Regions from separate parts of the Mus musculus genome. Here all the other regions are reported to be linked to region 3. The links are microRNA targets in miRTarBase. Many come from high-throughput screens and were not tested one by one. Region 3 holds a microRNA gene; each other region holds the end of a gene's coding sequence.
The links. The annotated mature microRNA mmu-miR-7b-5p reads UGGAAGACUUGUGAUUUUGUUGUU and lies in region 3 at 2,591-2,614, opposite strand. An mRNA with a match to its seed (bases 2 to 7 or 8) in the 3' UTR can be bound and repressed. Matches are read on the target gene's strand: a 7mer-m8 pairs with bases 2 to 8, a 7mer-A1 pairs with bases 2 to 7 and ends in A, and an 8mer does both.

Region 1 (7,104 bases), not on the chromosome of region 3:
GATAGGAGCTTTTTTTACCCACTCCCCCCTTTTTTAATGGTAGAACCATAATAGATGGTACCAAGAACTGCTTTCTTTGGGATTTCAAGGTGGGGTCCAGCCAAGTCCCCACCTCCCTTTTCTCAAGGGAAGAGGCCAAGATTAAAGGAAATGGAAATGCTACCATTCCATATGTAGCACAGACAGTTCTTGGTCACATGGAGCCCAGGCCCCTCGGGCTTCGTTTTGCGGAGGTTTTTTTCATCTCCTTTTCCTTTGCTGCACTGGCCTCTTGTGGGTTTGATTCCATCCCATCAGTTCTCTGTAAATGATGTCAGGGGCCAGTGATGTCACCTGCAGATGCGCAGGCAGGCCCCTGCTCTGTCATCCTTCCCTCCTAGGATGCCTTCCTGTGATGAGGTTTCTCCTTCCCCACCCCAGAGGATAGAGGTGAACATAAAGGATTGGTGAAATGTTTACAAGGGCAGGAGTTGACAACCGTGGTCAGGGATTGTCGAACAACAGGAATGTGGTAAACTGTGGTTGGGACAGGCAAGCCCTACCCAGTAACAGGCCGTGCTGGCCCACCAAGGAACTTCCCTTCCTGGGCAGCAGGGAAGTTGAGAATCGGCCAGTGGGACCGAGGAAGGTACCCAAACCAAGCACGTCCCAGTAGGGGTCCACAAGCACTAACTAGAGTGCACCAGCATTCCATGGAATGTCGCTATGCCTCCATCTGCCCCTCCATGAGCACTCCCAGAAGCTGGCCCTGGGCACGTGTGGTGTTGGCCCCAGGCCCCAGCTGTTTGTGAAAAGCAGAGGGTGAGCATAGTGGGCAGAGCAGCTTTGCCCAGACGGCAAAGGTAAAGGCAGAGCATCCTGCCGGTGCACTGGGATTCTTCTGGTCTCAGCAGAAGTGACAAAGCCCTGCATAGAATTAATGTTTCTAAAAGGCCAGAGGCATTGATTCTGAACTGCATCAAAGACTGGAGATGCAAATATTACTTCTCCATTAGTAAATGTACTTTCATTCTATCAGATGGCTTCAGAAGCTGGGTCACGGACAGGGCACAGGGCCCTGGAATCTCTGCCCTGCTCCTTTGAGGATCTTCATTTACATACAAGTGTTGTAGGTGGCAGGGCAGGCTGGCCTCCCACTCTGGGATGGGCTTCTTTGACTCCTCCCCCTCTGACAGTGACTTGTGGGTATGTGGGAGCCTCTGTAGAATCTGGTTCTAGCATCAGATCAACCAGCCAGACCCTGCTCCATTCTGCCCCTCTAGGACCAAGCCCACCTCTTTCCTCTGAATGGTGTGGCTCCATCTGGAGACAGCTGGCCAGTGTGTTCAACAGTTTCCTGCACCCCCTTGCTTAACCCTCAGAGCTGCCTGGTTCCCCCACCCTCTGGCCCACTGCCAACAGCAAACATCACATTCGTACTTCAAGTCTAATGGCTACTGCCTCCTCAATCTATGAACAGATCTGGCCAACACAAGAACCTGTGTCTTCACAATACACTGGGGATGTCTTTGCACAGCCAAATCATCCTATGAAACTCCAGCGTCTGTGGAAGTGAGAAAGCAGCACCATGCTTGTGGTGTCGGCTGGAGGCGTGTCACCCTCCGGCAACTGCATCTGAAGCAGAGCCCTTGTGGTTTCCAGGCCTGGACAGGGAGCTCTTCCCCTGGGGTCTAAAGGACAGAGATGTCTCTCCCTTTGATTCCTTTGGTCCCTCTGGTCCTCCCTGGGTATTCACACATACCCCAATCCTGTCTAGACAACGAGTGGTTCTGGGTTTCTGCAGATGGAAGAGAGCAAGGTGTCCCTGAGTTCTGTGGACTTGACCCCCGCATCCCACCCTGACCCTGCCTCCAGTCCCGCTGGCCGAGGGCAGAGCCTCCTCCCACTGTGCTTCCTTCACGTTTACTTTAAGAAGCAGGGCCTCCCTCCACACCGTCTCTTAATACTTTCTGTAGTTGATTTGTCTGAACCGTGGCTGTCTTGCATTCCTTGAATAATCATGTGTAAGAATTGTCAATGCTTGAAACTATTTCCTGTACTCAAGTTGAAGGGACTTTGTTGGCCTTGGGGTTTTAGCAGTGACTCCAAGAGCAGAGTGGGGAAGCACCCAGGCATAGCCTTGGCGCTGTGATGGATGCAGTCCCTCCCTCTGTCCCTTTACAAGTGACAGTATACATTCCTAAAAATAAAAACACTGAAGCATCAGGACTGTTACAAAGTTTTATATCTTGGTTCTTGGGGGAGGTGAGATTGGGAACAGGGACCTGTGACAGGATCTCTGGCCACAGCCACAGTAGTTTCAAGGGCCCCACTGCTTCTACAGTCTGACTGTAGTTCAGGCAGTGTGATGTGCCAGCCAGTTGGGGACTCGGCTATGTCCTCAGCACTTTCCCTGCTTCAAAACTTTTCCCACCTGAGCCCACTCTGTCATCTTTTGTTCCTAGTTTGGGGGTTGTGGGGCTTAGTAGATTTCAAAGCCCCAAATGAGAAAACAGCACTGGAGACAGCAGAAATCTCTGCTCCTGCCAGTCTTGCTGGTGTTGCTCTCCCCACAAGCCTCGGCCTTTACTGTCCTGTACGTGCCCTTTGGAAGGCAGTTGCAGCTGGGACCACGACACATTCAGATGCACCTTTTAACTTTGTGGATGGCATCGAAAGTCCCCCTCTTAAATTTTAAGGAAACCCAGCTCTTAGTAACTTACTTCAGAACTCCTGGAAGACCTATCTTTGACCTTTCAACAGTGACAACATACCCAAAGACACTGAGTGTGAACTCTCTCATAATCCTTTAGACAGATGGGTCAGCTGAGGTCAGAAGACCCAGTGACATGTTTTGGGGCACAGCACTTAAGTCCAGGGCTTCATGTGGTAGTCACTCCCTGTTTAACTGAGCTGAGCAGTTTTAAAGGCAGTTCGAGGTGACAACTCCTGCTGTCCTAAAGTCTCAGTGGCTCTGTCCTCCAGCAGCCACTGGGTCCAAATTCGAGGAATGGAGTATTCCAGTTTCTGAGGGTGTATCCAGCTTTGTGGGCTAGAAGTGTTGCTCAGGATAAATTGGCATCACGTACAAGTGGATTCCGTTGATCCCTGGCCCTCAAATTTAAAGATAGATGGTTTCCTTAAAGCCTAGCTGAAGGCCCCAAGGGCTCACCCACAGATTCACTCTGATCCCAGGATCTGAGCACAGCCTGTGCAGTGGGGGTCTGCCAGCTCACTGAAGCCTGGATATTTTAGAACCCAGACTGGAGAGGAAGCCCAAACCCACACCACCCCTGGTGGTTCCTTATAGAGGGTCTTCCCCAGAGGTCCCTTCTGGGTCTAGCCACCTGGCCATTTCTTTTGCATCTAACAAAGGGAGCAGATACCACTGACTGGGCAGTACACACTGCCCTTCACCCTTGCTGACTTTTGCTTTACCCTCTCTTGAGTGGAGATTCTCCAGCATCCTCCCCTTCTATATCTACCAATCTGATCCGGAAGGGTTAGTCCCCTTACCCCAAACAGAACAAAGTAACTCAACATATTTGGAAACAATTTTAAGAGAAATAAGTCCAGCTATGGGGGAGTAAGTTTGTGGCGGGGGTGGGGTGGGGGGGGGACATGGAAAATATTCCAGGAATGAAGACAAGGACGTACCTAGGACAGTGCAGTGGGTGGGTGAGGTGTCCTACCAGTTCCCAAAGTGATCAGGTCCTTTGGAAAGCAAGTGACCAGCACACTGACAGACTTCTCAGACATGATGGGATAATTACTACAAAGTGACACTTGGCTCTGACCAGTTGGTGAGTGGGAAGCTGGTCAGTGCATGTGGGGCTCAACAGTCCCTTCTGCCTAGAAGCAGAAAGCAGAAGGTGATAACAGGAAGACCTGTCACTCTTCTTGGGGAACAATTCAGAGAAGGCTCTTTATAAAGGGCTTTGCTTTCCTCCCTAGGAAGTCTCCCGCCTGCCCAAAGGCCATGGGGACAGGCAAGGAGCAGGTCCCATGGGAAGTCATGCTCGCTCTGCTGCTGCCCCTGGTCTCAAGAGCTTCCCTGCAGGGCTGTAAGAGATGGGATCCCATAGCATAGGCACAGTGGCCGGTCCACCATTGTCCTTGTTTCTTACAAGAAAGTCCTGTCCTTCCCCTTCAATTTTCCCCAAAACGAGCCTTCTGGAGGGTCCTGTGTCCTGTTTGTTCTCAGCTTTCCACACCCTTGGCACTAGCTGCTCCAGACTTGCAGGTCTCCACAGAGGCAGGGGGCCTGTGGGCCATCTGCCTAGGCAAAGGCGGCTGCCAGGTTACTGGAGCTTAGTCCCTGATTCGAGTCCCCAACACCTTTCATCACTGCCACTCCCATGCCACCCTGTCCCAGGTTCCCATCCAGGTTCACCAAATCAGGTACCTGATTCTCACTAGAGACAGCTCCACGGAGGAGGAGGCACGGATAGAGACAGAAGGCCCCAAAGTGGTAGGGACTGAGTTTCCCCAAAACCTCCCAATGTCCTTTAGGGTTCAAACCATCCTGACACATGATAGCCTCCTACCACCCCTCCCCCACTGCAGTCTTCCTCCAAAGGCTGCACTAAAAATGGCAAGAACAGCACTGCTCCCATGATCCTCCACACGCCAGGGTCCCTTTCACCCAGCACAGCCCTGCCTACCTTTATTCCCACAGTGTAAATGCTGGGAGCAGGTTCTAAGATGGGCGCTGTTTGCCTGATATGTTCAACAGGATACGGAAAGGAGCTGGACAAACTGTTCACTGATCTTTCCAGTCCTGGCTGGTGACTAATTTGGACATCAGACAGTTACAGGAGGTAGTAAAGTCAAGAGTGGTCCTAGCTGTAGCTGGTGGGGTCTCACAGAGGCTGGAAAACCAACACTGGTGCTACCCTCCAGAGGGACAGTACCTAGCCAGGTGCTGCTTATGACTTCAGGGTGCTTTCTCTGGGTCTGGAAGTTTATGGGGGTTGGAGAGGGGTCTTACACCGGCAACCTTTAATTTCCTGTTCTAGTAGGAGGTCTGTCTCTCCAGTCACCAAACAGAGATGCCCATGAGTTCATCTGACACTGAGGCACAGTTTAGATGTCTGTCACTTATGTCCTTTAAGCAGTCCGTGGCCTTGGGGCAAGGAAGAAGGGACCCACCTTCTAGGCTTGTTCTGAATCTGTAACATGGCTCCCAATGAAGGCCAGCACTGTAAATGTTCTTCTAAAACTGTGAGCCTAGACTTCTCACCTAGCTCATGACCTTCAAAGGTTCGCCCAACACCTCACCTTTCCCAAGTGAGAAAGGAAAGAGAAAAATCTAGAGATACAGAGAATTCTGCACTGGCAGAAGCTGGGGCTGGGTTCTGGAGCCCTCTGAGGCACAGGCTGTGGATGAAGCATCCCAGGAGAATTGTAGGAGCTCTCAAGAGGACTCCCTAAAACTGCAAGTCTTCCCAGACCAGTGTTGTCCACCTAAGCCAATTACTAGCCATACCCTGCACCTTTTATCTCAGGAGACACCATTGTCAGCCTGGCTACAGAATCTGAACTCCTCATCCTACCTTCTCTTCTCCCATGACTCGGAAGCCATAGATAACTGTCCCTTTCTTGGCCCCTTCTCTAGCACCCTCATCAGATAGGTGGCTCTGAGATCTCTGGCCTCTACTTACCAGCCTTGGCCCCCACCGTTAACACTACTGCCTGAATCAGCTCAGAGGGGAGGGAGAATGCTTGAACATGAGGCAGCTGGTCCAGCCTCCAGGCTGGAGGCCTCTGTGCGAATGGAGGTGTGAAGCAGACTTCAGTGGAGTGGGGATCAATCCATCTTCCACCCAATACTACTGAACCCCAGGGGTCACGGGATGAGTAGCTGCAAATGAGAGACCTCACTTGGAGCTGGGAGCTGAGTGGTCAGAGTGAAGGAAGGTCGTGGCAGTGTAGTTCTGGAAGAGAGGCTGCAGGAACATGCCAATGGTCCCAAAGACACAGACAAAGACAAAGATCCAGAGGAACAGGCGGTCGATCACCATGGCAACGTATTTCCAATCCTCCCTCACCTGGATGGAGGAAATGAAGGTGACCCAGATATCAGTCACCTGGTGTGGGAAGAGGCAGGAAAGTCCCTACCACGTGTGCACCCCCCCACCCCCACTCCTCTCCCTCAGCAAACCCAGAACAACTATTCATGGCTCTGATCCTGCCTACTCCAAAGTCTCTAGTGCTCCCACTGCCCCCGGGGCCCACCCGAACCTACCCGTAACAAATAGGAGTCTACTTCCTACTACCTCCCACACCCCAAAACTCAAACTTAGTAAGAACTACAACATGTCTTCTTAGCTCTCTCACTTCCTTAAAACAAAACAAAACAAACAAAACTGGTAAACTCCTACACATATTTCAAAGCCCTAATTTCCTAATTGTCTATTCACCAAACAATTAATGGCTTCCCTGCTCCGGTTGGTCCCTGGCACTAGCTAACTCAGTATACTATATTGTTTCAATCTGTATGTCTGGCCTTCCACCAAACATGAGAGGGACCCTGCCAGCATCCGGGACAAGGCTCTCAGTAACTCAGAGGTGCTGCCTCTGGGGCTCTGCTTTTATGATAGCTTGAGACACCCTCCCACAACCTCAACCTCACTCCTACACAGAACCCAGAAGGTGCAAGTGGTGCCCAAGTGTTAAAACATCAGTCCAAAAGGTAATGATATCCGTGGGGTTTGAGAACCATCTACAGGGTCACAGGAAAAGCCAGCTTCTCTTCCAGACTGAGTCCTGTCTTTTTGTATGTGTTTATCTGGGCCCCAGCCAGATCACAGGACACAAGATAGGGAGCCAGCAACTGTGCAATTCATGTAGCTGGCAGCCAAACAGTCACTCACTGAAGTCACAGTTGGGCCTGCCACAGACCTGGCATCCTGCAAGGCTCGGAGACACAACCAAGTGAAGAACCCTATGGTTTTGAGTATCTTCAAGGAGACAGAGACAATAAACCTCTCAGAGATCATACAGTGAGAGGGGATGGAAGACTAGGATGGAGAAACAGAAGGAAGATGGGATGGGCCTGGAAAAGCCTCTTCTAGGAGATGACGCTTACAGCAAGCTCTGCTGGGTAGGAAGGAAGCCCTGTTC
Region 2 (7,116 bases), not on the chromosome of region 3:
TGGGCCAAGCAAGAACAATTGTGCCATCTTTCCATTTTACAGACAAAGGAATAGAGCCCAAACAAGTGAAGCACTTGATATCTTAACTCATGTAGCTGTTAGATGTTGCAGGCAGTATTCATCTCCATCTCCACCTGTGCTCTTAATGACTAGGCCCTTTGACCACCCAAGAGGCAGCCCAGCTCTTGACCATTCAGCCTGAGGCTAGTATGCTTACAGAGCTTTCTCCTGGCAGGAAACCAATTCTCAAGGTATCTCTTGGCTTAGTAGAGCTTTTCTCTAAGATACACCAGGGGATCCATACCCAAGCAGGTGTGAGAAGATGGGTGCTAACAATCTAGGGATATTACTTATCGTGAGCACTCCTAGACCATCCCCACCAGCTAATTGCTCCATTTTGGAATCAACCATCCTCAAAAGTCCAGCTGTGGTGTGGGGCTCCTCACTTCCATTCCCTACTTTGTTTCCCATGGTTATCGCCAAATCCCTTAAGAGCCAGGGGCTAACCATGATGTTAAAAAAAGATGTTGAGAGCACAGGCTAAAGCCAGAAAGTCTGGCTTTGTTCCACTTCCTACTGTAGATACGGCTGTGCTCTGCCATTTGCTAGCTATGACATCTTGGGTAGTTAGCTCCTTCTTCCTATTTCTTGTTTTGCCCAGAAGGGATGAAGGGACTTCCTTCAAAAGTTTCCTGGGCCAATAAAACGATGTTACCAGACAATATCAGATAGAGATATGTTGACAGAGGAGACACCCCACATTAAGGATTCCAAAGCTTGAAATCCAGGTATCTCCTAATGAGTGGTTTCCCTTACAGGGCAGCTGATACCATGTGTGAGCCTGCTTTAGGATCCACGGGCCCCTTCTCAGGCCCTCTCTCCCTCTCCCACCTGTCTAATGTGTGCAGGTCAGACCAAAGCACCACCCTCCTGCCTTCAAACCCAGGCCGCTTCGATCATTCAGTTTTTGCACCACGGATACAGGGGCCTTCCATTGAACAGAGCACGGCCTTGTCTGCTCAGCCTGGAGGAAGCCAACAAAATATCACCAAGGTCCCTTCCCTCACCATGACTTCCCCCACACAAGGATCATGGATGTATAAAGATGCTTCAGAGGAAACTGCCCAGTCCACTAACTCTGAGCTAGTTTATAGTCCTTCCAGGGCTCTGCCTGGTGCTGCCAGTTCTGGGGCAGAGCAGACTGCCACACATATCCTTGAGCCTAATATTTCATCTGCCTCTACCCCATTAGTCAGCAAGTACCTTGAACCCTTGCCTACTTCACCAAACCCCAGGAGCTTACCTCAGACCAAGCAGAGGACACAAGCCACGCCCAGGGCTCTCCACACAGACCCTCCACAGGATGAGATTCCAGTTTTGCTGTTAGATGATGACAGCGAGGAGGAGGAGACTCGGGACCAGGTGGCGGCACCTCCCCAGGACGTCTCTTGTGAATACCACCCCTGCAAGCATCTGCAGACCCCGTGCGCAGAGCTGCAGAGGCGCTTCAGATGCCGTTGCCCTGGTCTCAGTGGGGAGGATACCACTCCAGACCCTCCCACGCTGCAGGGGGTGTCAGAGGTGACTGACACATCAGTGCTCGTCCACTGGTGTGCCCCCAACTCAGTGGTGCTCTGGTATCAGATCCACTATGTGGCAGAAGGACGATCTGGGAATCAATCCGTAGTGGACATCTATGCTACTGCCAGGCAGCACCCCCTGTACAAGCTGACACCTGGCACCACCTACCATGTGTGTGTACTGGCAGCCAACAGGGCTGGCCTGAGCCAGTCACAGACCTCAGGCTGGAGGAGGTCATGTGCCACTTTCACAACCAAGCCCAGCTCTGTGGTCATCTTCTGGGGACTGTGTACCGCCAGTGGCCTGTTACTGGTTAGCACCCTGGTGCTGTCTGTGTGTCTCTGGAGGCAGCGCTGGAAGCCACACAGGCAGTTCTACGACACACACCTGGTGGCCTTCAAAAACCCAGCCAGAGCTGAGGAAGTAACTCAGTGGGAGTGACTTCCTAGCCTGTACAAGGCCTTGGGTTTATCCCCAACATCCAAATCAGACACATTTGAGGCCTTGATTTTCCTTCCAGCAACCAGATTAAACAAACCAGCCTTGGCCACCTGCAGAGGCTCCAGAACTTCAATTATCCCCGTGTCTCCTATTTGAAATACATCTGCATGCAGAAACATGCTGATGCCTAAGGACAACATGAGCTTCAAATTCCCTGAAGCCACCATGTCTCAGGCTCACACAGAACTACACTGTGTCCTCCTCTGTTGAAGGAATGAGTGTATCACCCTTCCTCCTATAGTTGTTCTCACTACGCCTGTCTTACTAGCTCCTGTCATTCTGTGACATCCTTTACATTGGTCAGTACTCCGTATATCCCTCAGTACCAAGTGAGATACTACACTGAAGGAGATGGGATAACAAAGCAGTTGTAAGAAGGAACAACTCCTTTAGAAATGCCATCTCTAAGTTTCTTGCATGGACGTTCCCTTGTGGCCCGATTTTAGCACAATGAGTTCTGTTGGCCTTGAGCTGATAGCCAAGGTAAGAGCTATTGTTGGTTTGCTAAGGCCTTCTGGATTCTTACTTGTATTTCAGGGTGTGTCAAAACATGTATTTCCAGAGTTACAGTTAAAACTGGCCTTCTGGTAACATTTGTGAGACACAGGCAATTTGCTTCCAAGTCTTTCTGTATTTCACCCATGTTGGTCTCAACTTAGATCCTTCTGCCTCTGTCTTTCCAAATGGTGGGATTATAAACATTTGGAGCGGAGGCAAAATTGAACTCACAACAGTGCTTATTTCTATTGTAAGGAAAAGTTGTTTGAATTCATCTCTCATCTTCAAAACAGGCTGTAGCACAAACACCATGCTGCAGACAGCAAGTTTATCAAAGCTGAACCTGAATATGAATCACACTATACATTTCTAAGTGGGTTATCCAAGCATGTTTTCAACATTCTAAACTGTATCCTTATTCTCATCAAATATATGCCCAGGAGAATTTGAAAGATCTCTCTAAATCCCACTTTAAAACTTACAAAGGCAGTGGAGTGGGAGTGGGTGGGGGAGCACCCTCATAGAGGCAACGGGGAGCGGGGGAGAGGGCAGATGTGGGATGGGAATTTGTGGAAGAGGAACCAGGAAGAGGGATATCATTTGAGAAGTAAACGAATGGAATGATTAATAAAAAAAAAAAATTTAAAAGAAAGTTACAAAGGCCAAAATGTGAATTAGTATTAAGTCCTAACACATAATTAAATGGCCTCAGTGTTTCTAGCCTACTCTCAAGAATGAGTCTATTCTATGGAGACACTTAATAAATTTGCCAATTTGTATACATAAATGTATATTCTAATATTCTCATTTAAATAAAATTCTAGTATGTTAAATGGACAGGATGTATTTTGTAACAATTCAATACAGAAGATCCTGAGGGCATTTGGACTGTAAGAGTAGATACAGAAAAAGTGTGTTGACCAGAGCTAGGTCGAAAGCCCTTCATTCTAAGGATACTATGGGTTAACAATAACTGCAATAAGCTAATATAATTAAACGGAGTAAACATCTAATTTCCTCCATAAGCACTCTGCCACCTTTTTGACATTTCTCAATCACCATCCTGGATGCTCCAGCAGTCCTTCCATCTCTAGCCTCAGCAGCTCTCAGTTAGAAAACTGTGATGGGAGAGTTGAGGCAGAGGCAATGGCCAGCCTTGCCCATCTTTTCTCTTGCCCCTGTGATTCAGTTGTAGAGTTTAGTATGTTCTAAGACTGGGTGGCTACATTACTTCTCTACTGCTGTGACAAAACACCATGACCAAAGCAACTTACATAAGGAAAGGGTTATTTACTTGTGGTTTCAGAGGGTAGGAAGCTGGCAGCAGGTAGGAACGGCAGTTGGAGCTAAAAGATGAGACAGTTCAAATCCTGACTCACAAGCAAAAGCAGAGAGCAAACTGGGAATGGCACGTGGCCTTGAAACCTCAACGTCTGTCCCCAGTGACACACTTCTCCTAAACCAAACATTCAAACACCCGAGACTGGAGGCATTCTCATCCAAACCACCACAGTGGCTAAGACGTCAGGACCAGCAACAGAGCTGCACAATGCAATAAAGCTTGAGTTTCTGTCTCTTAACTTCTATTTGAACACAGTTCAACAAAATGACTAGAGGCTTACTGTATAGTAGCATGTTGGGGAATGTTTCTGTGCAGTGTATTCAAATGCTGATTTCTGTACCCGGACATCATCTGGGTGCAGTCCAGAGTTTGGTATTGTCATCATTACAAAGCATGTTCTGACTCGGTATTTTGTAAGATATTGAGATATTGTTTTCCTTTACCTCTGATTGGTTCAAGAGCTGATCAGCCTAGGGCTGGGGAGGAGAGTTAAGGCTAGACTTCCAATCTGAGTGAGGGGGTCCTGGGTGGAGAGTGTTGAGTGGCCAGGAGGGAGTTGCCATGAGGACACGGATAGGGAGGAACAGCCAGGGTGAGACTAGGAAGGTAGGTAATGGGGCATGTGGCTGGGTGGTAGGCAGCATAGCAGGGTTAGAATAGATCAGAACCCTGTCCAGCTGTAGTGCAAGAAGTTTATCAATAAATATTCCAGGTCTCCTTGTCGTTATTTCAAAGCAAGGGCAGGTGCAGACAAACTTTTACATCCACACGATTCTTAGGTTAAGCTAAGGAGAGAGGGCAACCAAGAGCCTCTAGTATGTGGAGGAGCCTCCCAGCTCCTGACTCTACCTGGAGCTCACTTCTCTAAACACACGGGTAGAGCAGGTCTTTATGGTCAGATGGTCTGGAATCAGTAAGTTTTACAACACAGGGGGAAGTGCTGCATCTAAGTGCACGTCACAGATCGGGGAACTTATATAGTCTCATCAACACACACCACAGGACAACCCAAGTGCAAGGCATGGATTTTTTTCCAGCTCTTTTATTTCTTTTTTATCATGTTAACAATAGAAGATTCCCCAAAGTTAAAAAAAAAAAAAAAAACTTTGAAAAATAGAAAGTTTCATCCTATTTACATGACATATGAGCACTGGTTCCAGTATCAAACATCCCATTACAAACAGGGAGAAGGCATGATGTCATGCTTTGCCTGTAAGATGCAAAGCGTAATACATGTGTTCTCCCTCTGACTCCTGCGTTATCTGTTATCCTGATACATAAACTATTTGGTACCTGAGAGGCTGGAAGACTACTCGTGAACTTCAATGCCTTCTGTTTTATTTGTTCTTTTTTGTTTTCAAAATGTACTGCATTTTAAAGCTCTGTACACCTTTACAGTACCCACAGCTAAGTTTATTCTCAGTTTTCAAATGATCAAGTATTAATCACATGAACTGTTAATGTATTTATAGATTTAAAATTCAAGCATAAAAATGTATAGACATGCTGTGTATGGTGTGTATCCAATCTTAGGAAATTCCCTCCTGCTTTCCTTTGTTTCCATGTTACCAACTATGTTTTTAAAAAACATAAAAAAAAAAAAAAACAAGAATAATTCATCTCACAAATTAATCAAAAACCTAAGATTAAAAATTCTACATTATAGTTTTATTTGTATTTAAAAATACACTGGAAATTCTGTATAGGCCCATGATCGAGCTTATTTTCGCCGTACATTTCTTCAGTTTTGAAGACATGGTTTGTCTGACAAGACCTTTCGCAAGCTGAACACCAAGATCAGGAAAGTCCTGTAGCTTTCGCTGGCGCTGCTGCCGATGACGAAGTTGCTTCCTTGCTGCTGGATCTGGGTGCTTCTCATTTGCCCTTTATCACCTGAACAGTTTTCCGACCATAGTGATAATAACTGTATGCTGATGCAGCTGTAGTGAATGCTGTGCAACACCTTGAAGAGAGAAATAGGATTCAGTTTCAAATTCAAAAACAGCGACCACGGAAATCATGAAGTACACACGTGAAAACGAGCTAAGAAAACAGGGCTGTGTGGTAAAACTGTCTAACTACAAAATCAAAATTCACGGCTTCCTTTAAGACCTCATTTACACTGGTGATGCCAAATAAAAGCCATCTATAATTACCGAGGCCTAAAGACTAGTAGTACTAGTGACTATCCTTTCCCACACACAACCCTAGGTGTTCGATGTTCTCCCACAAAAGCACTCTCATACAGACATGAATGGCAACAACTATAAACAGACTGGAGTGATATGGCTCAAACTAGACAGTTCCTACTTAAGGCTGCTTGGGGCCACCTAAAGTCATGCAATGCCCTGAAGCAGAAACAGGAGATCATGTTGTATCTGGGTGCAGTTTGAGAGAAAAAGATCCTCCATCAATAACCCAAAATACAAAAGGGAAAAAAAAACCAACCCCTATATTTTATGTAAGAAAATGAAGTTTAGACTGTATCATTTTAAAAAGTGTTTAGTATAATTTACTTTGATTAACCAATCAACTTTGTTTAGAGCTCTAAAGCAAGTTTTAAATATAATTAAATGTTTACTAAATATCACTAACCATCAACATGGCAGCCTATTTACAACCTATTTATTTGAAAGTTTGAGTTTGACACATTTCAAGATATTCACAGCTGAGGAATTAGAATTCAAAGTGCTCACCCTGGGGTGCCCTCCCACTGCACCCTCCACTAGGCTGGGTCTTTAATACCACTGTCCAGTGTCTCCTGGGCACCCAGCTCACCTATCCATATGGCTCAAATGACACTTCCTTCCTGCAGTTATTTGTCCCTCTTCTTACTTTCTTTTCCTCCAAAACTCCTAACACATCAGCAATCCTTCTCATCCCTCTAAGTTGTGACTGCTAACTTCTGTCTTCCATGCCTTACAGTAAGGCTAAGATAGTGTTAGTTGTGTTACAGTAAGACTAACACATTGGTTAGTTGTGTTAATCACTATCTACTGTAAAAAGCAGCTGCTCTGATGAGTGTTAGGAATGTACAGTGCAAACAGAAGAGCTATATCACACTCCCGACTGCAAGGCTCAGGGATTAACATGCAAGCAGCAGAGGAAAATTATAAGAGCCAGAGGTGCTGGGCATTTGCCACAAAATAGTATTTATTGGACATGACAAAGATACTGCACACATGAAATTATAG
Region 3 (7,116 bases):
GTAGAGTACTGGGGAAACACAGTAGCAGGATTGCCATCACAGTCTCTCACCCTAGATTATGAAAAAGCAGAGACAGGAAGATCATGAGTTCAAGGCTATTCAGGGTATAAGTAGCATGACATCCTCAAAAAAATAAATAAAAGATAAGCCAGGCACGGGGTGGGATGTGGTCACATCTTTAACCCCAGCACTCTAGAGGCAAAGCAGAAGCAGGTGGGTCTCTTGAGTTTCAGACAAGCTTAGTCTATATAGTGTTATCCTGTTTCCAAAAAAAAAAAAAAAAAACAAAAACAAAATAAAAGCTGGAAGTATGACTTATCAATAAAAACCCTGCCTTGAATCTACATGTTTTCATCTTAAATTCTTCCTGGTATTTTTTCCCTGTAGTTGGGTTTGGGTCATGGGTTGAGCCCACACGTAGAAACCCCAGTAAAGGATGGGGGCCAGGTTCAGTGGTGGAGTCTCCTAGAATCACCCAGTGAGGAGTTGAGGGCATGGTCAGGGGTGGAGCCCCACTTAGAGTCCCCCAGAAGAGATCTGTAAACATTCTGTTTGAGAGTATCAGCCTTTCCTAAATAGTGTGGCCGTTGCAGGAGGCTGAGAATGTTAACAAAGTCTTGTCCTAATTGACCAGTGAGGTAACAGGAAGTTTCTCCCACCGAGCTGAAGCCTGGAGAAGGCAGAGTTGGTTATGGGAGGTTATGTGAGTGGACTGTGCAGACCCAAGAGAGGAAACTGCATGGACAAAGCAGCCCCTGGGCTGCTGTGTGACTGAGTTTGATGTCAGCTTTACACGGGTGGAGCTTAAGGGAAGCAGGAACCTCAATTGAGAAAAGGCCTTTATCAGGTATTTTCATGATTAATGATTTAAGGCCATTGTGGGTGGTGCCATCCTTGGACTGGTGGTCCCAGATTCTATAAGAAAGAAGACTGAGCAAGCCAGGGGAAGCAAGTAAGCAACCAGTAAGCAACACCCCTCTATGGCCTCTGCATCAGCTCCTGCCTCCCGGTTCCAGCCCTGACTTCCCTCAGTGATGGAGTGTGGCCATCATTGTAAGCTGAATAAACTCTTTCCTGCCCTTTTCTTGAGTCAAGGTCCTGTCACAGCACCAGGATGCACACTAGGACAGCTGGGGAGAATTGCACAGTGGGGGATGGTTAGTGACTGCATTAGAATGTCACAGATGATAGGTGTTGAATGTTAAGAATGCCATGACCCACCAGACAACAAGTCCACATTTTCTTGGTATCAGTCATGCAACTAGTGGTTGCTTTGTGTGGCGGGCACAGAGTTTTATTGAAAATTGGGCTGGGGCTCCATGGGTACCGTACCCAGTCAAAGCATTTGAAATTCTGAATCCAACACCGTGTATGCTAGGCATGGTTCTCAGGGACTGGAGGCAAGAGAACTCAGTGTTCAAAGCCATCCTGGGCTACATTCAGAGTTAGAGAAAAGCCTGGACTACAGGTGACACTGTCTCAAAGCAGGCAAAGTGAAAAGAGTGAGGAAAAGAAAACAAGAAAGAGAAAAGAATTTCAGGGTTTTCTAGAAGTACCTTTGATGCCAATCCCTCTTTTAAAAGTTTTATGGCCGGGCAGTGGTGGCGCATGCCTTTAATCCCAGCACTTGGGAGACAGAGGCAGGGAGATTTCTGAGTTCGAGGCCAGCCTGGTCTACAGAGCAACAGCCAGGTCTATACAGAGAAACCCTGTCTCAAAAAACCAAAAAAAAAAAAAGTTTTATGTATGCACATGCTTTTAATTCAAACACTCAGGAGGCAGAGGCAGGTGGATCTCTGAATTTGAGGGTAACCTGGTCTACAGAGTAAGTTCTAAGACAGCCAGGTTTATATACAGAAACCCTCTCTTTTTTTTTTTTTTTTAAATGTAATTCTTTTTTTTTTTTTTAAAGATTTATTTATTTATTATATGTAAGTACACTGTAGCTGTCTTCAGACACCAGAAGAGGGAGTCAGATCTCATTACAGATGGTTGTGAGCCACCATGTGGTTGCTGGGATTTGAACTCTGGACCTTCGGAAGAGCAGTCGGGTGCTCTTACCCACTGAGCCATCTCACCAGCCCCAGAAACCCTCTCTTAAAAAAAAAAAAAAGAAAAATTTTTATGTGTGTTTATTTATTTGTGTGTGGAAGCATGTGTGTCACAGGACATGTATGGTCAGAGGACAACTTGCAGGAGTTGGTTTTATCCTTCTACCCAGTTGATCCTGGGGCTCAAGCTTGGGTTCCCTAATTTCAAAGCACTCTTTCCCTCTGAGTTACTCCACTGGCTCACCATTCCCTATTTGAGTCTCCAGAGAAAGCACGGTGCTGTGACCCAGGGCCCTGAGGTTGTGTCTCTGATCCTATCATGTAGATGTGTTTGAGTGACAGGCCAATAGCATGGGAAACACTCCTGCACTCTCCCAGGGCCCGAGACCTTGCTAGACACCCTCTCCTGTCCGTGCTAGACTTCCCTTAACCCCCTCCTGTCCCAGTTTCCTGCCCCTACCTGTTTGTGTATTTCAGGAGAAAGGTGATAGGAGTCCACGCTATGAGGCTGGCTGTGACTTGTTGTCATATCATATCAGAACAACAAAATCACAAGTCTTCCACATAGCACTGGCTCACGTACTCCGCTCCTCGTCCTCATCCTCCTCCGCCAGGTTCAACACCCTCAAGTGCTTCTCTCTCTCTCTCCATAGAGGATTGAGCATAACAAACCCCACTCACTGACTTACCCTCCCTAGACATCCCTTTTCCATTCCATCCCCTGAGACACAGGCAAGATTCATTCTCTACCTGCCCCCCAACTCACACCCTGGCACATCACCAACGTGGGATTTATTGTTCCAGGCACGAGGAGCACACACTTGTCACCCCAGCACGCAGGGAGTAGAGGCAGGAGGATGAGAACTTCAAGATCATCTTTGGCTACACAAGGAGTTCAAAGCTTGGTCTACAGTGTTTTAAAATAATAATAATTATATATATAATTGAGAGAAAAACTCTTTTTAAAAATAAAAAGAACTTGAGATTTAAAGTTGGATTGAGGCTGGCTTTCCCCTCACCACTTCACTTTGGAAATTAGTACACCCAGAGGCACTCATAACATCTCGTTGACCAAATGCTTCGCCTGTACTCTGTGAGTTTGAAGCCAGCCTAGTCTACATAGTGAGTTTCAGAACAGCTAGAGGTACACACAAAAAAACCCTGTTTCAAAAAAGAAAAAAAAAATCCCTCCGTAAAGGACAAATGCCAAGAACCATTAAGAGGTTCCTTCCCTGTACACTCTCCGCCAGAACAGACCCCAAGGCGATCCCTGAAGCTGGGTGTTGAGAGCTTGGCACTGCCAGGGGCCGGGTGCTGAAGCCTAGTCTCTTCGTGACCCGCTGGGAGCTGTCCGAAATCCTGGTGCTGAAGCCGAACTCTGCTCCGAGTCCCTCAGCCGGATGGCGCTGTCCGCGTCTCCAGTGCTGAAACATAATTAGTTATTGGGGGAGGGGGTGGTCAGTGCGGCTCGAGGACACTCTCCCAGCTTCTGCCTTCTGCCAAAATGCCCCGCTCCTTGTTTCTGTTCTTCGTCCTAGGGACCCATCTTCTGTTTTAATCTCTTCCCATGGACCCGGGGTGTTCTAGGCGGGGACGAAGGCGCAAGGCTCTCACCTGCTCCCACATCTCAGGGAGACAGCCCTGGGTTCTCTGCCCTTCCTAAACAGTCCAGTTGGCCTTCTGGAAGATGTGCCAACTTGCATTGTACCCAGAGTCCCCGCTTCCCTCCCTCAGCGCACCTTTTCCTCCTTCCTTCGTGCCTTACCTTCTCCTGCTCACCAGCAGCTGCAGGTGTCTCGGTGGCTGTCCAGTTTCCGACGTTTCACCTTTATGCGCTTAAGGGGAAGGCGGAGCGCTGGAAACCCTGGGTGGGGCTTAGCCAGTGAACCAATAGGAATCGTCTTGGAATGAAGCTCCAAGGATTACCTCATAGGTTGAGGCCTCGGCTTCAGAATAAAAGTCAGGCATCCGTCCAAAAACTTCTTTAGGGGTCTCCAGAAGGTGTCAGGGTGTAGTCCTGTGGCCTGTTAAGTTTCCACGAGAGGATCATCTAAAACCTGATCACTGAGTAGCCAGAGGATTAGCGATCATCAAGCGTGTGCCTGCTGGGACAGAGAAGCTGAAAAAAAATGTTTGAAGAAATTGAGGGATTTTGAAAATAAAGTCCAATTCTACACAGGGAAGATGAAGTGTGCGGGAATGAGACTCACAGAAGCGTAGGATAGAGGCGGAGCTCTGGCGATTTTTGTTTTGTTTTGAGTTAGGGTCTTGATTTGTAGTCCATGATGACCTCAAACTTATGATTCTCCTGCCTCAGGCTCCCATCAGGAGTTTGCCTCCACACTAGATTGATGCAGTGCTGGGAATGGAACTTAGTGCTTTCTGATTGCTGGGCCAGCGCTCTGTCCCTGAGCCCTAGTCACAGTTTCCCCCCTCTAACACAGTCTCTCTCACTTTTGTGATCCTCTTGCCTCAGCCTTCTCAGCACTGGGAAGGCTGGTGTGTGGCACATCACACACCTTCATTTACATAGCTTCCTTTGTAGCACCAAAGGGACAGACAGTCAGGGAGGACACACACTCAGGCTTGTAAATCTCCTACCAGCTCCTCAGGCTGCGGAGCTGGCAAGCCAGGTTCATTCTATACACCCTAGGGGCATGGGAGGAGGGGCTGCAGGGAACCTGGGATGAGACCCTGGAAAGCCACCTGCAAGATCTAAGCTCTGATCAGTTGTCCCTTTCCCTTCTAGCAGTCTCTTGGGTAAAACTTGCATGCCCCACGCCCTTTGTTTTTCTCTCTTATTTCTTCCCATTCTTTCAATTTGGATATGAACCCAGAGCCTTGCAGTCCCTCAAAGAGCTAAGTCATCTCCCTGAAATTATAAGATTTATTTATTTATTTATTTATTTATTTATTTATTTATTTATTTATTTATTTATGTGCACATGCACAGTACATGCATAGAAGTCAGCAGAGAGCTTGTGGGTCCTGCAGCCCACATTTAATTTAATTCATTTTAAACCTTTGGAGAATTCTTGTTCTTTTTATTGTTTGTTTGCTTGCTTGCTTGCTTGTTTGCTTTTTGAGACAGGGCTTCATTGTGTAGCCCTGGCTGTCCTGGAACTCACTGTGTAAACCAGGCTGGCTTCAAACTCAGAAAGATCAACCTGTCTCTGCCTCCTGAGTGCTGGGATTAAAGGTTGGCATCACCACTGCCACGCTGGAGAATCGTTTGGGGCTACGGGAAGCTGTTTGGCAGGTTTCTTCTCTCACATTTGTGAGGTCCTGTGTTCCATGTCCGCACATACAAATCAATAGAAAGTGAAACGGTGTGTGAAAGCCCACCCTCATGCATGTGCACACACGCGCCATGGTGCTTATCTGGAGCTCTGTGAAAGCCTTGCACGAGTAGGTTTTCTTCTTCTGCCACATGTGTCCCAGGGATAGAACTCAGGCCACCCCACAGCAAGTGCCTTCACCCTCCAGCTCCATTGCCCCCACACATCTCTCAGGATTGAATCACAATCATTTTGTGGATGGATTTTGTCCATCAGATATTTCCTAGTTCAAGGACTCAGAGTCCTTGAACTACGCCACTGTTTGGACATCATGAAGAAAATGTCCAGGAACTTACACATGTGCTTCCTCATGTGTGCTATTTTCACTGCCATGCCTGGTTTCTGATGGGTGCTGGGATGAAATTCAGTCCTTCACACTTGCGTGGCAAACACTTCAGTTACCTCTCCAGCAGTGTATTTTAATTCTTTGACATAGGGGCTTTGCTCTGTAGCTGAGGTTGCTCTCATATTTGAAATCCTCTGCCCCAGCTTTCTAAGAGTTGGGATCACAGGTGTAGGCTGCCATTTCCAGCTCCAACTGGCCTCAAGTCCCTCAGGTCTGTCTCCCTTGTTGATGCGCTCTGCTCCTATCCTGGAAAACTGTGTGAAGGTTCATGATTCCCACTTTCTCCCTCTGGTGACACCTCAATGTGTCCTGTGTCATGAAAACTACGGGTGTGGGCAGGCACCGATGAATGAAAGTTTTGTGTGTTTGTTTTGCTTTTGATTTTTTTTTGTTTGTTGTGTTTTTGTTTTTGTTTTTTACAGATCTTGCCTGAGTTTGTGAGAGCAGCATAGGACACTGATCATCTGCAAATAGTGTGTGGGGAGGTGTGTCACAGCAGTCTGTCTGTCTTCACACTGGCAGGAGCCTTTTCTATGGGGCCTTCACAGGGGCCTGGGCACCTTTGGGGGCCTGAGCACCTTTGGAAGCCTGGGTTGGAGCTGAAGCCTGGGCCTTATCTGGAGCTTTGGCCCCTGCCTTGGTTTGGACCTTAGGCTTCAGTTGGCAGAGCCTCTGACCCTTGGCCATGTAGCTTCGAATTTACTTCCCAATCTTAGGGTGAGCGATGAAAGCCAGCCGCTTGAGTTTGGGGCCTTTTGGCATCTTGGGCTTGATGGCCTCTGCGCGCGCACTCACTGCCTTTGCATTATTGGCCTGCATCTTCTTCAGGCCTTTCTTGTTGTGCTTCTTGGCAAGGCGCATGTTCCTCAGGAACTTCGGGTCAACCCCCTTAAGAGGTTCGTATCTTTGCGACAGGGGTTTCTTGATGCCATTTCTGTGCCATTTTCGGGACTGGTTGTGTGTGGTGTGGTTCTTGGACTTGGCCATGTCTGCACGGTAACCCACGGCTCCCACACCGCCTGGGACCAGAAGAGAAAGAGCTGCTTTTGTTTTCTTTTTAAGACAGGGTTTGTCTTCGTAGCCCTGGCTGTCCTGGAACTTGCTCTGTAGACCAGGCTGACCTCAAACTCAGAAATCTGTCTACCTCTCTCTGCCTCTGAAGTGCCAGGATTAAAGGCATGTGCCATCACTGCCCAGCATGAATGAAGGGTTTTTTGTTTGTGTGTTTGTTTTGTTTTTTGTTTTGTTTTTCGAGACAGGGTTTCTCTGTGTAGCCTTGCCTGTCCTGGAACTCACTTTGTAGACCAGGCTGGCCTCGAACTCAGAAATCTTTCTACCTCTGCCTCCCGAGTGCTGGGATTAAAGGCGTGCACCACCACCG
Region 4 (7,116 bases), not on the chromosome of region 3:
AGGTGATGGGAGGAAGGGCTGCAGTGAGATGCAGTGAGGTGATGAGAGAAGGGCTACAGTGAGATGCAGTGAGAGGTGATGGGAGCTGCTCTGAACCTCATTTTCTAATTCTCCCACACTTGCTTTTTTTCTCTTTGCAGGAGTGATAGTTCATTCAATTTCTTCGTTTTTTTCTTCATTTTCTTCGTCCAGGATGTGTTCTTTGTCCTCCAGGCCATTGGCATCCCAGGGTGGGGCTTCAGGTGTGTGAGCTACCATTCGTCCTCAGCCCTTCCTCACACATTGGGCAACTCAGTTTAATGGGGTTGTCCAACTAAGGGTCATGTGGGTCTTTTCCTTGGGAAAGACTAATGTAACTGAAGTCAGGGCACTCTATGGCTAGAGCCAAGACAGCAGTAGACAGGCAGAGGCTGAAAATTAATTTTCCTGGAGAGGCCATGTCACAATGGACGAAAGATCAAGGGAGTGCCCAGAAGTGAGAAGGATCTCTTTCTCTCTCTCTCTTTTTTTTTCTTGGTTTTTTTGAGACAGGGTTTCTCTGTGTAGCCCTGGCTGTCCTGTCCTGGAACTTACTTTGTAGACCTGGCTGACCTCGAACTCAGAAATCTGCCTGCCTCTGCCTCCCGAGTGCTAGGATTAAAGCCGTGGGCCACCATGCCTGGCTCGAATCTGTTTTTCATGAGGATGCCAGGAGAGCTAGGAGCGGATGCTTCAGAAATGACTGAAAAGTATGAAGAGAATAGATGTAGTGGGATTGGTTCATGGGATGCCGCCATATTGGCCGAGGCCCTGACCGTTGATGGGCCTGGAGCATGTTCTTAGACCTAGGGGACTCCGGGTGAGCAGAGCCCCGGCAGAGTGGTCGGTCCTCACCCGTGCATCTTCCCACAGCGGCTGGGTGACTGCTCTGGTGGTGGTGGGATCCAAACCTGCCGTGGCGGTGCTCATGCTGCTCGTCGCCCTGCTCTTCACCGGCATCGCAGTGCTGGGAATCGTGATGCTGAAGCGGGTGAGGGCCGGTCGGGAGAAGGTGGGGCTGGGGAGTGAGATCATTGGGTCCCTAGGGGCTGCTGAGTGGAACATTAAGGAAATGGGGCAGGGCGGGTGGGTTATCAACTAATGGACTTTCTTGGGTGGGTGAGTTTGTGTGTTTGGAGGGAGTGCCAACGCAGAAGGAACGGTACAAAGCAGGAGACTAGTGAGTGGTGCCATCCTCCTGGGATGGGAGGGGCCTGCCTCCCTTATAATCTCTTCCCTCTTGCAGATCCACTCCCTGTACCGCCAAACGGGTGCCAGCTTTCAGAAGGCCCAGCAAGAATTTGCTGCTGGTGTCTTCTCCAACCCTGCGGTTCGAACTGCTGCTGCCAATGCAGCTGCCGGAGCTGCTGAAAATGCCTTCAGGGCCCCTTGACCCCTGCTGCACCCGCTGGGATGCCCTGGGCCTGTCACCTGTGGGAACCAAGATAGTCCCTATCCCTGAAGTCTCTGGGATTCAGGGAGCCATCACCACTTGGTGACTTCTATGGGGCTCTTCATTCCACAGCCATGACTTTAATCCTGACTTGAGGTGTGGAGAGCCCGCTGTGACTCAGTCATTATTTGCCTTTTATCTCCCATCTGGCCACACTGCTGCCGCCACCTCTCACACAACCCCAACCCCAGTTTCCTTCTGCTGTGCCAAGGATGTCTTCTTCCGTTATTTAAATTAAAGAAAAAAAAGTGTAACTGGAACTCACCCATTTCCTGTATCTTTACTGGAGATTGGGCCATTGTATGGAGTGGGGAACTGGGGTGGAAACACTCTGCAAGGAGAGGGTTGCACTTGGCAAAGTGGGCAGGCTGATAGGCGGGAGATGGGGGAGCCCCAGCTCGGTTTACCATGCCTCTGTTAATGATGAATGAGCAGTCAGTCCCTTTTGGTGTGAACACCTCATCCCGGGAACCTGTGGGGCAGAAAATGGACCCAGAAATGATCCTTAACTGCTCAGGCTTCAGGGCGAGGCTAGGGATGGAGGAGGGCCTCTCCCTATCTCCTCCCTTCCCCAGGGTTGCTTTCAGACTACAGCTCCCGGGATGCATTGCACCACCCACCACACCCCTCCTCCGCACCACGCACCATCCACCATCCCCCACCTCCACAGGCTGACCTGCTGCAGCTGGAGGAGCTAAGGAAGCCGAGCATGGTGGGGAGGGGAGCGGGTCTGCGACTCTGGAGACAGTTTCCACGGCCTCTCCCCACCAGGCGGCCCTGAATGGCCAAACGCACCTCTAGTTCCTGCATGCAGACCTTCCCCCTCTCTGTAGACTTGTTTGCATCCCTCTCGCTTTTGCCCTCCCCACCCTTGCCTGGGTTCCGGAACGCTACTCTTCAGTCTGGGATCAGCCCTTCTCGGCACCCCTCTTCATTAAGGAAATGCAATGAACCGGTGCCCTCGCGTCCTCATCGCCTCCCCGGGCACGGTACCCGTTTGGTGGTGGGGAGGGAGCCCCTCACTGTCCCTTCGTGACGCCCCTCCTTTGGGCCTCCTTCCAGCTGGCGTCCCTGGGCGATGCCCCAGAGGACCTAGCCAGGAGGTGGGCTTTACAGCGAGGGCTGTGGAAAGGATAAAGAACCAGGGCTTGGGTGCTTCTGAGATGCTCACAAGTATCAAGGGGGACCGAGCGAGGTGCGAGCAACTGGGCGGCAGGCATGATGCCCTCGCCCAGTGACTCCAGTCGCTCGCTGACCAGCCGGCCCAGTACCCGGGGCCTTACCCACCTCCGCCTCCACCGACCCTGGCTCCAGGCCCTGCTCACGTTGGGGCTGGCCCAGGTGCTCTTGGGCATCCTGGTGATAACCTTCAGCATGGTGGCCTCCTCTGTCACCACCACCGAGAGCATCAAGAGGTCCTGCCCATCTTGGGCTGGGTTCTCGGTGAGTGGGGTCCAAAGAGTATATAGTACTGGGGTGGGGGAAGCTTCTTAGGCCCCATCCCTCCTCACCTGCAAGCCCACATGGTTGTCTTTCCTTCTTCTCCCAGTCCTCTCCCTCCTTGCAGGGCTGGGTGCATCCTGTGGCAAGGGGCTCACTTAGGTGCTTCCCCTGCCAAGCTGAGCCTGTGCCCACTCTGTCCCTAGCTGGCGTTCTCCGGGTTGGTTGGCATTGTGTCCTGGAAGCGGCCATTCACTCTAGTGGTAGGTGCCAAGGCCCGATGCCCACTAGGAAGCAGGTGCCCAGCAGCGAAGGGGATTTACCCCCCCCCCCCCCGTTATGCCTCCCAGGAGCTTTCCAGTTGGTATAAGGCTAGCAGAAGCTGTCTGAGAAGAGGGTGGCTCATTCTGTGGAAGAGGGATGCTGCTGAAGGTCCCAGCCCTGAGATGCCACCTTCTTTCCCTCAGATCTCTTTCTTCTCCTTGCTTTCGGTGCTCTGTGTCATGCTTAGCATGGCTGGCTCTGTTCTCTCCTGTAAGAATGCTCAGCTGGCTCGGGACTTCCGAGAGTGCTCCATGGTGAGATTTGAGGAGGGAAACCTGGAAGGAAGGGGTTAGGAGAGATGGGAGGAAGCCGTGAGTTTGCTCTGACCCGGGCTGCCTTGCCCTTTGCACTCCCACACAGGAAGGGAAGGTCTGTGTATGCTGCCCACCTATCCCCCTACACAGACCTTGCCCAGAATGGGGCCAGGAGCTGAAAGTTGCCCTCAACTCCACCTGTGATGAAGCCAGAGGGGCCCTCAAGGTGAAGAAGCCCTCCCCAGCCCTTCCCCCTACACTCTTATTTTGGGTCTCCTTTGCTCCCCTCCTGGAGTTTTCAAAGGCTCAAGTGTGTAAGGTTTTTCTGTCCCGGGCCCCTTACTCTTCTCCTTTATCTTCTCCAGAACCTGCTCTTCAGTGTCTGTGGCCTTACCATTTGTGCTGCAATAATCTGTACCCTCTCTGCTATTGTCTGCTGTGTCCAGATCTTCTCCCTGGATCTGGTGCATATGGTAAGAAGGGAGCCAAGGCCCAAGCAGACAGGGGTGGTGGGAGCTGGGTTTGTGTGTATGTGTGTGTGTGTGTGCTGGGCCTGGGCCTGCCAGGCATAGCTACAGGTGACCTGAGGATATTTATTTCGGGGATGTTGAGTGCTGAAGGGAGAGTGAGGAAGACTGGATGGGGTGGAATCTGGAAGGTCCTAGGATGAGGAGGGGATAAAGGATGGGTAGTTGTATGGTGACAGGGAACAGGTGACAATTATGGATAGATGTGAAGCTAGAAAAGGAGAGATATATGGGTGGACAAAGCCAGAGCTGGAGGTTCAGCGTGAGGCAGGATGAAGAAGCTGGGTGTGGCTGAGGAAGGGTGGAACTGGATCTTCTTGGTGGAAGTAGGGCCATAAAAATAGCAGAAAGGGAAGAAATTTGAAACCAGGCTTGCTCTCTAGCAGCTTGCCCCTGAACGGTCAGTCTCAGGCCCCCTAGGGCCCCTGGCGTGTACATCCTCGCCTCCAGCTCCTCTCCTACACACCATGCTGGACTTGGAGGAATTTGTCCCGCCTGTGCCCCCACCACCCTACTACCCTCCAGAGTACACCTGCAGTTCAGAGACAGATGCACAAAGGTAAGGCTGGAGGTGGGGGTGGGGGAGCAAGGGGCTGCTGGGGGGAGGGACTGGATTGCTGGGAGGCATAGCTGTGGAGTAGGAGTTAGTTTCCAGACCCTGATCCTCTCCCTCATCCTGCCAGCATCACGTATAATGGCTCCATGGATAGCCCAGTGCCCTTGTATCCTACTGACTGCCCCCCTTCTTACGAGGCCGTCATGGGGCTGCGAAGAGACAGCCAGGTGAGGAAAGAGCTTGGTGTAGCTGGGAGCAGTGCATGGAGCCAAGACGGCTGCTTGCAAGGATACCAGCCTGCTGGCATCTTTGATCTGCCCTAGAGCTGCTGAGGTGGGTGGGAGATGAACTAGTATTTCTCTTTTTTGTTGTTGTTGTTGTTTTTTGAGACAGGGTTTCTTTGTGTAGCCCTGGCTGTCCTGGAACTCACTCTGTAGACCAGGCTGGCCTCGAACTCAGAAATCCGCCTGCCTGCGGGGATTAAAGGTGTGCGCCACCATACCCGGCTAATATTTCTCTTTTAAAGATGTGTAGTTGGGGGCTGGCGAGATGGCTCAGTGGGTAAGAGCACTGACTGCTCTTCCAAAGGTCCTGAGTTCAAATCCCAGCAACCACATGGTGGCTCACCTGTAATGAGATCTGACACCCTCTTCTGGTGTGCCTGAAGACAGCTACAGTGTACTTACATATAATAAATAAATCTTTAAAAAAAAAAAAAAAAAAGATGTGTAGCTGGGGCATGATGGTTCACTCCTGTAATCCCAGCCCTGGAGAGGCAGAAGCAGAAAGACCATGGGCAACCTGGTCTACATAGAGAGTTCTAGGCCAACCAGGGCTTCAGGGACCTTCTCAAAAAATAAATAAAAAATAAAGATATGGAAACTGATGCCCCCTTAAGCGACTTATAGAAAGCCAGGTGGAGTGGCATATGCCTACAATCACAGCACTTGGGAAGTGGAGGCAGCAAAGTTAGGAGTTGAAAGGCTAGCTTAAGCTACGCAGTAAACCCCCTCTTCAACAAAGAGAACAAAAAGCAATCAAACAAAAAGCAACGAACTCATACAGAGTGACAAAGCTGCTCTGGAATCTCTGGTCGCCAGAGCTTTTGCCAGTACATGGGAGTGGCCATGCCAGTGTGACAGGCCGGACTTTCCATCCTGTGTCTTCTACAGGCCACTCTGTTTGACCCTCAGCTTCACGATGGCTCCTGTGTCTGTGAGCGGGTGGCCTCCATTGTGGACGGTGAGCAAAATGGGCCAGAGTGGACAAGGGCGGGGTGGGGCCGGAAGGAGGGGAAACAAGGCCAGCCAAGTTAATCTGAAGGTTTGGAGTAACGAAGCTACTTTAGAACCCTGGGCCTGTCTGTCTCCTTGAGGATAAAAGCTGGAGTCAGAATGGGCAAAAGCAGCTGCCCTGATGAAATCCCACCTCGCCCTCCCTTGCCACCCACAGTGTCCATGGACAGTGGGTCCCTGGTGTTGTCTGCCATTGGCGACCTCCCCGGGGGCTCTAGCCCATCAGAAGACTCATGCCTGCTGGAACTCCAGGGCTCTGTGCGCTCCGTCGATTATGTGCTCTTCCGCTCCATCCAGCGCAGCCGCGCAGGCTACTGCCTTAGCCTGGACTGCGGCCTCCGGGGTCCCTTTGAAGACAGTCCCTTGCCAAGGCGACCCCCACGGGCTGCCCGCTCCTATTCCTGCTCAGCCCCTGAAGCCCCACCCCCACTGGGTGCCCCCACAGCTGCTCGCAGTTGCCACCGGTTAGAAGGCTGGCCGCCCTGGGTGGGACCTTGTTTCCCCGAGCTGAGGCGGCGGGTCCCCCGAGGAGGCAGCCGCTCAGCTGCACCCCCTCCTGCCCGAGCACCAGCTCGACGCTTCAGTGATAGCTCAGGTTCCCTCACCCCACCCGGACACCGACCTCCTCACCGGACACCTCCTCCACCACTGCTGCTGCCCAGGTCTCACAGCGACCCTGGCATTACCACCTCCAGCGACATCGGTGAGCCTAGTTTGGGGAAGGATAATCCACTAGGACTGGGTCCCTGTGAGATTCCTAAGGCCGAGGAGGTGAAGTTACTCCCCCGCAGTGTCCTTTCTGAATGCCCACCTCCCAGGGACAGAGGCTTCACGGCTAACCAGGTGGGAGGACTTAGTTTTTGAAACCATCTCCACAGCACCTAAGCCTAGGCTACAAAACCACTCCGTTATAGCAACAGATCAACCACAAGTCTCTGAGTTACTAAGAGATAAAGCGAAATAGTTCACAGCCACACAGGAAGTGGCCCGAACTCCCATGTGGGGACCCTAAGCAGAGCTGGGGAGGCAAAAGCAGTGAGGGACAGCATTAAAGAACCCATCTTCCTACACCATAGCATTTAGTTGTAGGCAGAAGCGATCGCTCCTTGAATGCGGATGGAGGAGAGGTGTGTTCATCTAGCAATCTTACACTGTCCTTGTTTCTCCTCCCCAGCTGACTTCAGGGACCTTTATACCAAAGTGCTTGAGGAAGAAGCTGCCTCTGTCTCCTCTGCAGACACAGGTCAGG

Region 1: miRTarBase lists Chrnb2 as a target of mmu-miR-7b-5p. Seed matches in the 3' UTR shown: 7mer-m8 at 3,861-3,867 and 8mer at 2,714-2,721.
Region 2: the mRNA of Crls1 is a reported target of mmu-miR-7b-5p. Seed matches in the 3' UTR shown: 8mer at 5,225-5,232.
Region 4: the mRNA of Scamp3 is a reported target of mmu-miR-7b-5p. The part of its 3' UTR that is shown has no 7-base or 8-base seed match.

What each region holds. Positions count from the first base shown.
Region 1 is chr3:89,751,242-89,758,345 of GRCm38, forward strand. Chrnb2 (cholinergic receptor, nicotinic, beta polypeptide 2 (neuronal)) reads right to left here. Exons shown (of 6, transcript NM_009602.4): 6 at 2,207-6,029. The coding sequence ends at 5,859. Adar (adenosine deaminase, RNA-specific) reads left to right here. Exons shown (of 15, transcript NM_001146296.1): 15 at 1-2,214. Among named protein-coding and RNA genes, the nearest start is that of Chrnb2, 9.8 kb to the right of the region's middle.
Region 2 is chr2:132,864,606-132,871,721 of GRCm38, reverse strand. It overlaps Crls1 (cardiolipin synthase 1), which reads right to left. Exons shown (of 7, transcript NM_001024385.1): 7 at 4,949-5,885. The coding sequence ends at 5,798. It overlaps Lrrn4 (leucine rich repeat neuronal 4), which reads left to right. Exons shown (of 5, transcript NM_177303.4): 5 at 819-3,206. The coding sequence ends at 2,022. Among named protein-coding and RNA genes, the nearest start is that of Lrrn4, 13 kb to the left of the region's middle.
Region 3 is chr17:56,238,515-56,245,630 of GRCm38, reverse strand. It overlaps Mir7b (microRNA 7b), which reads right to left and starts at 2,643; the gene lies at 2,533-2,643. A230051N06Rik (RIKEN cDNA A230051N06 gene) reads right to left here and starts at 3,915. Exons shown (of 2, transcript NR_155493.1): 1 at 3,817-3,915; 2 at 2,826-3,475.
Region 4 is chr3:89,181,035-89,188,150 of GRCm38, forward strand. Scamp3 (secretory carrier membrane protein 3) reads left to right here. Exons shown (of 9, transcript NM_011886.3): 7 at 141-242; 8 at 892-1,009; 9 at 1,265-1,736. The coding sequence ends at 1,411. Gm45927 (predicted gene, 45927) reads left to right here. Exons shown (of 19, transcript NM_001310017.1): 17 at 141-242; 18 at 892-1,009; 19 at 1,265-1,736. The coding sequence ends at 1,411. It overlaps Fam189b (family with sequence similarity 189, member B), which reads left to right and starts at 2,109. Exons shown (of 12, transcript NM_001014995.2): 1 at 2,109-2,914; 2 at 3,118-3,174; 3 at 3,379-3,489; 4 at 3,596-3,715; 5 at 3,855-3,962; 6 at 4,400-4,575; 7 at 4,700-4,799; 8 at 5,745-5,814; 9 at 6,025-6,570; 10 at 7,042-7,110. The coding sequence starts at 2,690. It overlaps Gm16069 (a long non-coding RNA gene), which reads right to left and starts at 3,393. Exons shown (of 3, transcript XR_003954659.1): 1 at 2,983-3,393; 2 at 874-1,943.